Elephas maximus indicus: one gene and its partner. The protein of the gene in region 1 binds, or shares a complex with, the protein of each later gene. Links are inferred from orthologs where the notes say so. Each region holds a gene or a part of one and is shown on either strand. Other genes may lie near its edges.

Region 1 (3,902 bases):
AAATGGGGATGAATGAGTTACCAAGTGAAGTAATTCGTAAAATGTTAAAACAGTAGCATGGTGCATTTCATCCAAAAACTGAAGGCTAATAACAACACATATTAAAATGCTTTGAAAAGTACCATGTGCTACCAAATACCCGCAGTTACTGGTCAAGCACTAAGAATCACACCCTTGTAAACTTCCTTCAAAAACTGCTAATAGCAGAAGGCTGCTGGACACCATCAAAACATGTACCGAATGCCTATATGAAAGGCACGACACCAAACCCTTAGGGTTGTTATCAGAGAAGTTAGTACAGGAGGTGTGTTTTCCTATGGAACATCTGTAGCCCAGCGTCAGCAGTTTAGTTTTCTTTTTAAAACAGGTTGGAGCTTAGCAACAGACAATTTAATTGTTCTGGAATTCACTGTTTCTAAACAAACCAAAACTCTGACATCTCTCTAATGACATAAAGCCTAACGTGAAGTGCAATGCAAAGTAGGGACCACGGGGAGGGTGGAGGCGGTGGCACCCCAGCAGGTGACCAGCCGCAGAATCAAAAAGGAAAAGAACAGAGCTGCACCGGCCTCCGTTCCTGCCTCTAGACCGTGAGAAATCGAACTACGACAAGGCTAAGGACGAGTCACCAGGGTCTGCTACCCTGCTTCTTTGACTGAAATCAGAACTGAACTCACCGCCCAACCGGCAGCCGTTCAGTAAGAGCAGAGGACCGAGAGCTGAGAAGCCTCAGTCACTGCCCTTCGCTCCGTCCTCGGGGCTCCAGCCCGCCCTCCCGGCTCGGCCGGTCCCCACTGCCCGCACACAAACCGGCCGGCCTGACGCCCTCCGCCCAGGCAAGCTCTGCTCCCACACGCCCCCTCCCCGTCCCCGGCGTCCCCGGCCCGCCGCCTCGGAGCCCCTCGGCCTTGCTCTCCCCTCCCCGGGGGCTCGGGTTCCCTTGGTTCGGCGCTCACTTCTTCGTGTACAGCTCCTCCAAACGGTGCCACACGGCGGCCTGGCCAGGTCCGGAGCTCTGGCTCTGCTGTAGGAAGCCCGGTACGTCCTTCATGGCGGCAGGGAGAGGCCAGTACAACGGCACAAGCAAGTCTACGGCTGAAATGTCAGCGCCGTGGGGACGGCCGCCGGAACTGCTCACTCACTTCCGGCGCCGAGTCCCGCGGGGCAGGCCGGGAGCGCCTTCGCCCAACCCTAGGCGGTCGCTGATCGTTAGGGTAACCGCGCGCCCTTGGAGGGGAGGACGAACGTGCGGGGGCGGGGCAAGGGCGTGCTGTGGGCGTGGCGGGCTCGGACGTGAGGGGCGGGGCAAGTGCTGCTGGGCCGGGAAGCGGCGGGGCAAGTGCTGCTGGGCCGGGAGGCGGGCACGGACGCGAGGGGCGGGGCAAGTGCTGCTGGGCCGGGAGGCCGGCACGACGTGGGGGGCGGGGCAAGAGCGTGCCGTGGGCGGGGCGGGCGCGGACGTGCGGGGCGGGGCAAGAGCGTGCTGTGGGCGGGGCGGGCGCGGACGTGCGGGGCGGGGCACGTGCTGCTGGGCGGGACGCTGGCGGCCGCGGAGAAGATGGCGCTGTGGGCTAGCTGCGCGGTGCTCGCGCTGGGGAAGCGGTTCCTCCCCGCCCGCAGGCCCTGGGGCGCGGGAGGTGAGCGGGCCTGCGGCCGCCGACCTCAGTTCGTCCTGGGGCCGCCCGAGGGCCGGGGCGGGCGGTCGTCTCGGGCTCGCGGGCGCTTCCCGCGGGGGTGGCTGCGGGCGCGAAGGCCGCGGGGGCGCTGCGTCCCGGGCGGGGCGGCCTCGGCCTGCGCGTCCTCCCGGAGCTCGGGGTCCCGCGGGCGTGGCGGCGGTCCGCGTGGCCCGGCCGGTGTCGGCTCCCTAACGTACCCGGCCGGCTCCGCGCCGAGCCACAGCCACCGCCGTCCCGGGCGCTCCCCGCGTGTGTTCGTGCCGGCGCCCGTGGGCAGGCGCCCTGGAGCCGGCTTCCGCTCGCGGCGAGCCCGGGCCCAGCGGAGCCCCAGCCTGCCCGGCCCTGCGCGTCCTCACGGCCGACGCCTGGAGCCGCCGCTGCAGCCGCTGTCAGTCCCGCGCTGCGGCGCTGGCTCGTGCTGTGCCGGGCGTGGGGTCCTCCTCCAGGGGCTGGTCCCTGCTGACAGCGTGCCCGAAGTGTGTCAGATGCAGCCTCGCCGTCCTTGCTTCTGAGGAGCGTTCCAGCTCTACTGCTGGGCAGATTGTCCCTTCCCTTGGCACTCCATGGTGCATTCGACGACATTCTTTGCCAACACCACAATTCAAAGGCATGGATTCCCCTTCAGTCGTCCTTATTCCTTGTCCAGCTTTCACATGCATATGAGGTGATTGAAAACACCATGGTTTCGGTCAGGCGCACCTTAGTCCTCAAGGTGACATCTTTGCTTCTCAACACTTCAAAGAAGTCTTTTGCAGCAGGTGTGGCCAATGCAGTGTGTCCTTTGATTTCTTGACGGCGACTTCTATGGGTGTTGATTGTAAGTCCAAGTAAAATGAAACCCTTGACAACTTCAGTCTTTTCTCTCTATATCGTGATGTTGCTCATTGGTCCAGTTGTGAGGATTTTTGCTTTCTTTATGTTGAGGTGCAGTCCATATTGAAGGTTGTAGTCTTTGGTCTTCATCAGTAAGTGCTTCAAGTCCACTTCACTTTCAGCAAACAAGGTTTTGTCATCTGCATAAGGCAGGTTGTTAATGAGTCTTCCTCCAATCCTGATGCCCCGTTCTTCTTCATATAGTCTAGCTTCTCGGATTATTTGCTTGGTGTACAGAGTGAATAGGTATGGTGAAAGGATACAACCCTGACACACACCTTTCCTGACTTTAAACCAGGCAGAATCCCCTTGTTCTGTTTGAACGAGTGCCTCTTGATCTGAGTTCAGGTTCTTCATGAGCATAATTAAGTGTTCTGGAATTCCTCTTGTTTGCAATGTTACCCATGATTTGTTATGATCCACACAGTTGAATGCTAATCTGTAGGATTCCATTCTATGGGTTTTTGTAATTAACCATTTCCTTATTGATATGATTTTCAATATTTAGTTATTACAAATAGTTCTGAGCAATAACCTTGTTCATACACTACTTTTTAGGTGAATTTTTATCAGTGAAACTGCTGCGTCTAAAGGTATATACATTTTTAGCGTTTCCCCTTACCCCATAAAGGTTCTGCAGTTAGTCTCCTACAAGTGTATGTCCATACCCTTATACACAGCGGTTACACTTGGAATCTTACCTAGGAACTGATCCTACATGTGGAAAAATCTTCAGGCCCAGAGTTGTTAATCAGTGTTATTTGTAGAGTTAAAAATTGGAAACAAACCTAAACGACCAGTGAGTGAATATTTGAGTAAAATAAGCTTGTTACTTAATGTCATCTTCCATGGTTACTAAAAATATCAGTGAAGAGTTTGTAAGGAAGATGCTGGGGAGTCATTCATCCTGCCAGCAAACTATTCCTTAACTCTTACTCCATGGCAGACCCTTGTTCTAGGTGCTGGGGAAAGAGCAGGGTACTTGCTGTAGAGGTACTCCCCTGAGTCAGGGTGTGGGGCTGCCCTGACGAGCTGTCAGTTTGCACAGGTTTTCAGCCCTTTGAATTTCTGCCCCTTGGCTTTTGAGTTTGAGGCTCGTACATGAAATCACCCCTTGTTTCCCTCTTCACGGTATCTCCCAGTCAGCACCTGTGCCCACCTCAGGGTCCCCAGTCCCCGGCTCCCAGCAGTTTCAGACCATAGAGCGTCTACTTTAAGTACTGTACCCCAAGTACATTCTGTGCAGGTGGTAAAACCCTGTCCATCTGTCTGTCAGTGACTCAGATGAGGACTACGCATGACGTGCCTCAGCAGACGCTCAATAGTGGCGACAGCTTCTCTTCTGCTCTGCAG
Region 2 (3,902 bases), on another chromosome or scaffold:
ACCAGGATGCTGAAGTAATTGGAGAAAATTCCCATCACCTCAAATCACTTAAGGTTCCCAGGAGTGGTGTTTCTCTGCCACATCTTCCCCTGTGGGGGAGGTAACCCTACCCACCCCCACCCCCACCCCTCACTTCTCCGCCGGGCTGGGGCTGGGAGCTGGGTGACATGAACACAGGACCCAGACCTTGAACCTGGGGCCCCACCGCCTCCTGGCCTGAGGGCATCGTGGTTAGTCCATTTATCCCATGGGGCATGTCTGTGTGTGTGTGGTGGGGGTACAGACAGGCCCAGAGGGGTGAGGGGTTACAGGCCCAGAGGGGTGAGGGGTTCACTCTTAGGGGAGCACAAATAGATTAATGCTTTGACTCCAGCCTCTGAGAGGCTGAACTTACTGCCCTTTGGTTGTCGGACGCAGCTGTGCGGTTCGCTCCAGTCTGGAACCTGCGCCCCTCCACCGGTACCTCTCTTGTTGCCGGCTTGGCGAAGCCCTCCTCCTCCTCCCAGCCCCCCCCCCCCCCGCCCCGAGTTTCAAGAAGGGCGCACAAACAGAAAGCAAAACATCTGGGCTCAACTGTCAGTTCCGGATTGCAGACCAGGTGGGCGCACCGCGGTCTTGCCAGGCCAAGACCCGGTTCCGCCCTCGCGCCCCTGCAGCAGCTCCACAGGCACACTCCCTTCGCGCTCATCTTCTCCGGGGCGAGCTGCGGGAGGTACCTTCAGACCCCCAGGAGCCCCGGTGAGTGGGTGGTGCCAGGAGGGCGGAGAGGGGGCGGGCCCGCGAAGACACTAAGGGGCTCACCCGGCTCGTGGCGCCTCTGCTGGCTTCGACGGGTGCGGCGGGCGGGACCGGCTCCGGGCGCACGGCGACCGGATGGCGGGGCGCAGCCTGGGCCGCGGCGTCGGGCGGCTCCTCCGCAGCCTGCGCGGGCGCTCAGAGCAGCAGGTCCGGCCGCTGCGCCTGGCGAGCGCGCCTAGCGGACCGGCCTCCCGGGGCCCCAGCAGCGCCGCCGCCGCCGCCGCCGCCGCCGCCGCGCAGCCCGGCTCGTACTCGGCACTGAGCGCGCGGGCGGCCCGGGAGCCGGCCGCCTTCTGGGGGCCGCTAGCGCGGGATACCCTGGTGTGGGACACCCCCTACCACACAGTGTGGGACTGCGACTTCAGCAGTGGCAAGATCGGCTGGTTCCTGGGAGGCCAGTTAAACGTGTCCGGTGAGTGGGCTGGGGGTAGCTTAGGGCGCCCCCAATTCATGCGTCTCAATGAGCCCAAAGAGCTCCCCACCAGCAGCAGCAGTCGCTGGGCCAGGCGGATCGCAGCTGGTGTCTTGGCAGCACCACCGAAGGCCCCTTCCAATTATCCTGCCACACCCGCCCTAATCCACGGTGCTGTGTGATCCCTCTATCGGGATCCCACCCGGTCCCAGAGACTCCAGCACCGGCGGCTGTACGCTGTGCCGAAATCCATGTTCCCCGCTAGGGCCGAAGTTAGCTTGGGAGTCCAGCTGCTGGCTTTGCTGCTCCAGGCGGCTCCTCGGTCGGCTGACTACGAAGTTTAATGACAGTCCCACGACAGCGCCGTGGAGCGCCAGCCTGCAAGGGGCAGCTGGCGACACCTGGGTTAAGCTGGCGTGGTGGGTGCGGGCGGTCGGGAGTTGGGGCTCCCTGGCTCTCGTCTCCCGGTGGAGGCGAAAACGAAAGGCAGTCTGCTGGTTGATACCCGGAGCTGGAGCGCAGTGCGCAGTCGCTATTTGGGGACAAGCCCTGCCCAAGTAAACAAACTTCGCTGTGGCGGGACCCTGAGCTGAGAAAATTCCGGCCCAGCTGCGGGAATCAGTTCTGTCCTTGCTCCGGGCCTGTGTGTGGGAAGAAAGGCACGTCGGGCCATTACAGTCTTCAGCCTTTGCTGAGTCCTCAGAGCCCCAATGCCTGCTTTAGGTCGGGTCGCCTGAGGTCCCAGAAAGCAGCTCCATTGGCCAGTCGCATTCTCTGGCCTTCGCTGAGATGGAACCCACGACTTTTGTTAAGATTTGGGGTTGAGGAGACATACACCATGCCCCATCCCGCTCTAAGGTGCTACCTAGGCAGCAAGGGGATAAGGCCCTGAACAGGATTCAGTGGCCAGTGGGGCTGGGGGCTGGGCAGGAGGGGCCTTGGGCTAGGCGGGGTTGGGAGGAGCTGAGCTCTCCTGAAGGACTGGGATAAGAGTTAGGCAGGCGTGCTCATTTGCCAGGCTAATGTCCTGGCAAAGATCAGAGCTTGGAGGGGAGTTATTCTATTCCTTGCCTCAGTTTCCTCATGTGTAAAATGGGGGTGATAATGCCTAACCCCTAGGCTGACTGTGAGGATGGAGGGCTGTAAGGTGTCTGACAGGTCCGGCCCAGGCCCTAGTACCTATTGGCATTCAATAAAATGTAGCATCTTAAATTTATTGTACTCAGAAATAGCCATAAAATTACATGCAGTGTCTTGCAGCTACTTTTCAAACAAAGAAACTTAGGGAAACTTTGACTAGATTTATTTATTTATTTTGTATTGTGTATTACTTTGCCGACTTGATCAGAATGAGTTTTTTTCTTTAAAATTGAGTCAGCAGCAAGTGACCTTGAACTAGGTGAGAAAGCCCTGAGGTTTGCAGAGTTGGTGGAATGTGCCCTTGAAGAGAAGAGCAACTTATAGAAGAAACAGGGCAGAAACTGTGCAGTTCCTGGGGGAAGTGCCCCGACTTGGAGACCCAGGGCCACGTGGAAACCCCTGGTTGGCTCATGGTGCACAGCTGCAGCCTCGCACTCTCAGATAAGACTGTGGGAGGTCCTACAAGGCTGACAGCAAGGTCCCGGAGCCCCTTCTGTCAGGGCTGAGTGTGTTTAGTAAGCAATTCTTCTGCCTCCCTCTTTCTTCACTTATTCCCTGCAAAGACGCTGCCTTTACAGCTACATGAGCCAGAAATGGAGTTTCAGAAAACTGACTCATAGGAAACCAGCTTTTCAGCAGCATTCTCACCTCAGATATAGTGCCCATCCACTCATCTGGCCAGGAGTGTCTCTGCTTTCAGCCTGTGTCTACAAATAGAGGTGGCAATAAGAAGAAGTGCCACGCTCGCGCTAGAAGGTTGTGAAAGGGGTGTGGCCTGATACGTCTGTCGTGGCTGATAAAGTCAGCATGGCTTGTTCCAAAGAAACATTACTCTAGAAACTCCCATTATGCCTTCAGGAATACAGGAATATCTGTGCCCAGAGTAATCAGGTGCACATCTAGTGCCTGGGCTGGGACTGGGCTGGGAGGACTTGAAGGCTGAGTTCAGCTGGAGCTGTGATCCAAACACCTGCACGGGGCTTCTCTGTGGGCCTGGGCATGGCTGGAGAGGAGAGGTCCCAGAGACCCAGGCAGAAGCTGTTAGGCTTCTTCTGACCCTCCCTGCTTGACTTAATCTGATACATACAGGTTACCTGGTCTGTTGGAGTCAGCTTCCTTATCAACGAGAGTGTCAACACACCCGCCTCAAGGGCTATTGTTCGGATTACAGGAGAAAAAGCTCACAAAGCACGCAGCACTGCCCATAGCACATTACTAGCACCCAATAACTGGTGGTTGCTATTTATTAATGAGGCCTGGGGGATGCTGTGACCTCTACGTGTGGCCTCCAGCAGGGCTGAGACCCACGGGTCTGTGTCCGAACAGCCTGGGGGAGGTAGCAAGCCAGCTGCCTAAATGGCCCTTGAAGCACCACAGTGTCTGCCCATCCCGTGCCCTGGCGTGGCCAGGTAGCCAGGTGGGGCTGTGGTGTCGGAGGCCAGGTACAGCACTTCTGAGGACCACTGAGTGTGGGGGCAGAGTCCCCACCCACCTTCAGTGACTTGCCTCAACTGCGTTTACATAAAGTTGCTTGCAGAAGATTCTTTGGAAA

The links.
Region 2: the proteins of SIRT3 (region 1) and ACSS1 are in contact, whole or in part, in a crystal structure (PDB 3GLT), measured with the Homo sapiens proteins. The link is inferred for Elephas maximus indicus from reciprocal best matches to the Homo sapiens genes SIRT3 and ACSS1. Residues at the interface, in NP_036371.1 of Homo sapiens: Gly145, Ala146, Gly147, Thr150, Pro151, Asp156, Phe157, Arg158, Ser159, Glu177, Phe180, Gln228, Asn229, Ile230, His248, Ile291, Val292, Phe293, Phe294, Gly295, Glu296, Pro297, Leu298, Gly319, Thr320, Ser321, Leu322, Glu323, Val324, Glu325; in NP_115890.2 of Homo sapiens: Ser640, Gly641, Lys642, Val643, Met644, Arg645.

The regions. Positions count from the first base shown.
Region 1 is NC_064825.1:137,979,885-137,983,786, forward strand, and holds the start of SIRT3 (NAD-dependent protein deacetylase sirtuin-3, mitochondrial), read left to right. Parts: upstream 1-1,534; 5' UTR 1,535-1,558; coding exon 1,559-1,637; exon of another isoform or gene 1,638-2,480; coding exon of another isoform or gene 2,481-2,493; intron 2,494-3,902. Other genes in the region: PSMD13 (26S proteasome non-ATPase regulatory subunit 13), read right to left, coding at 957-1,051.
Region 2 is NC_064843.1:67,868,762-67,872,663, reverse strand, and holds the start of ACSS1 (acetyl-coenzyme A synthetase 2-like, mitochondrial), read left to right. Parts: upstream 1-816; 5' UTR 817-873; coding exon 874-1,210; intron 1,211-3,902. UniProt on the Homo sapiens protein: Catalyzes the synthesis of acetyl-CoA from short-chain fatty acids. Acetate is the preferred substrate. Can also utilize propionate with a much lower affinity. Provides acetyl-CoA that is utilized mainly for oxidation under ketogenic conditions.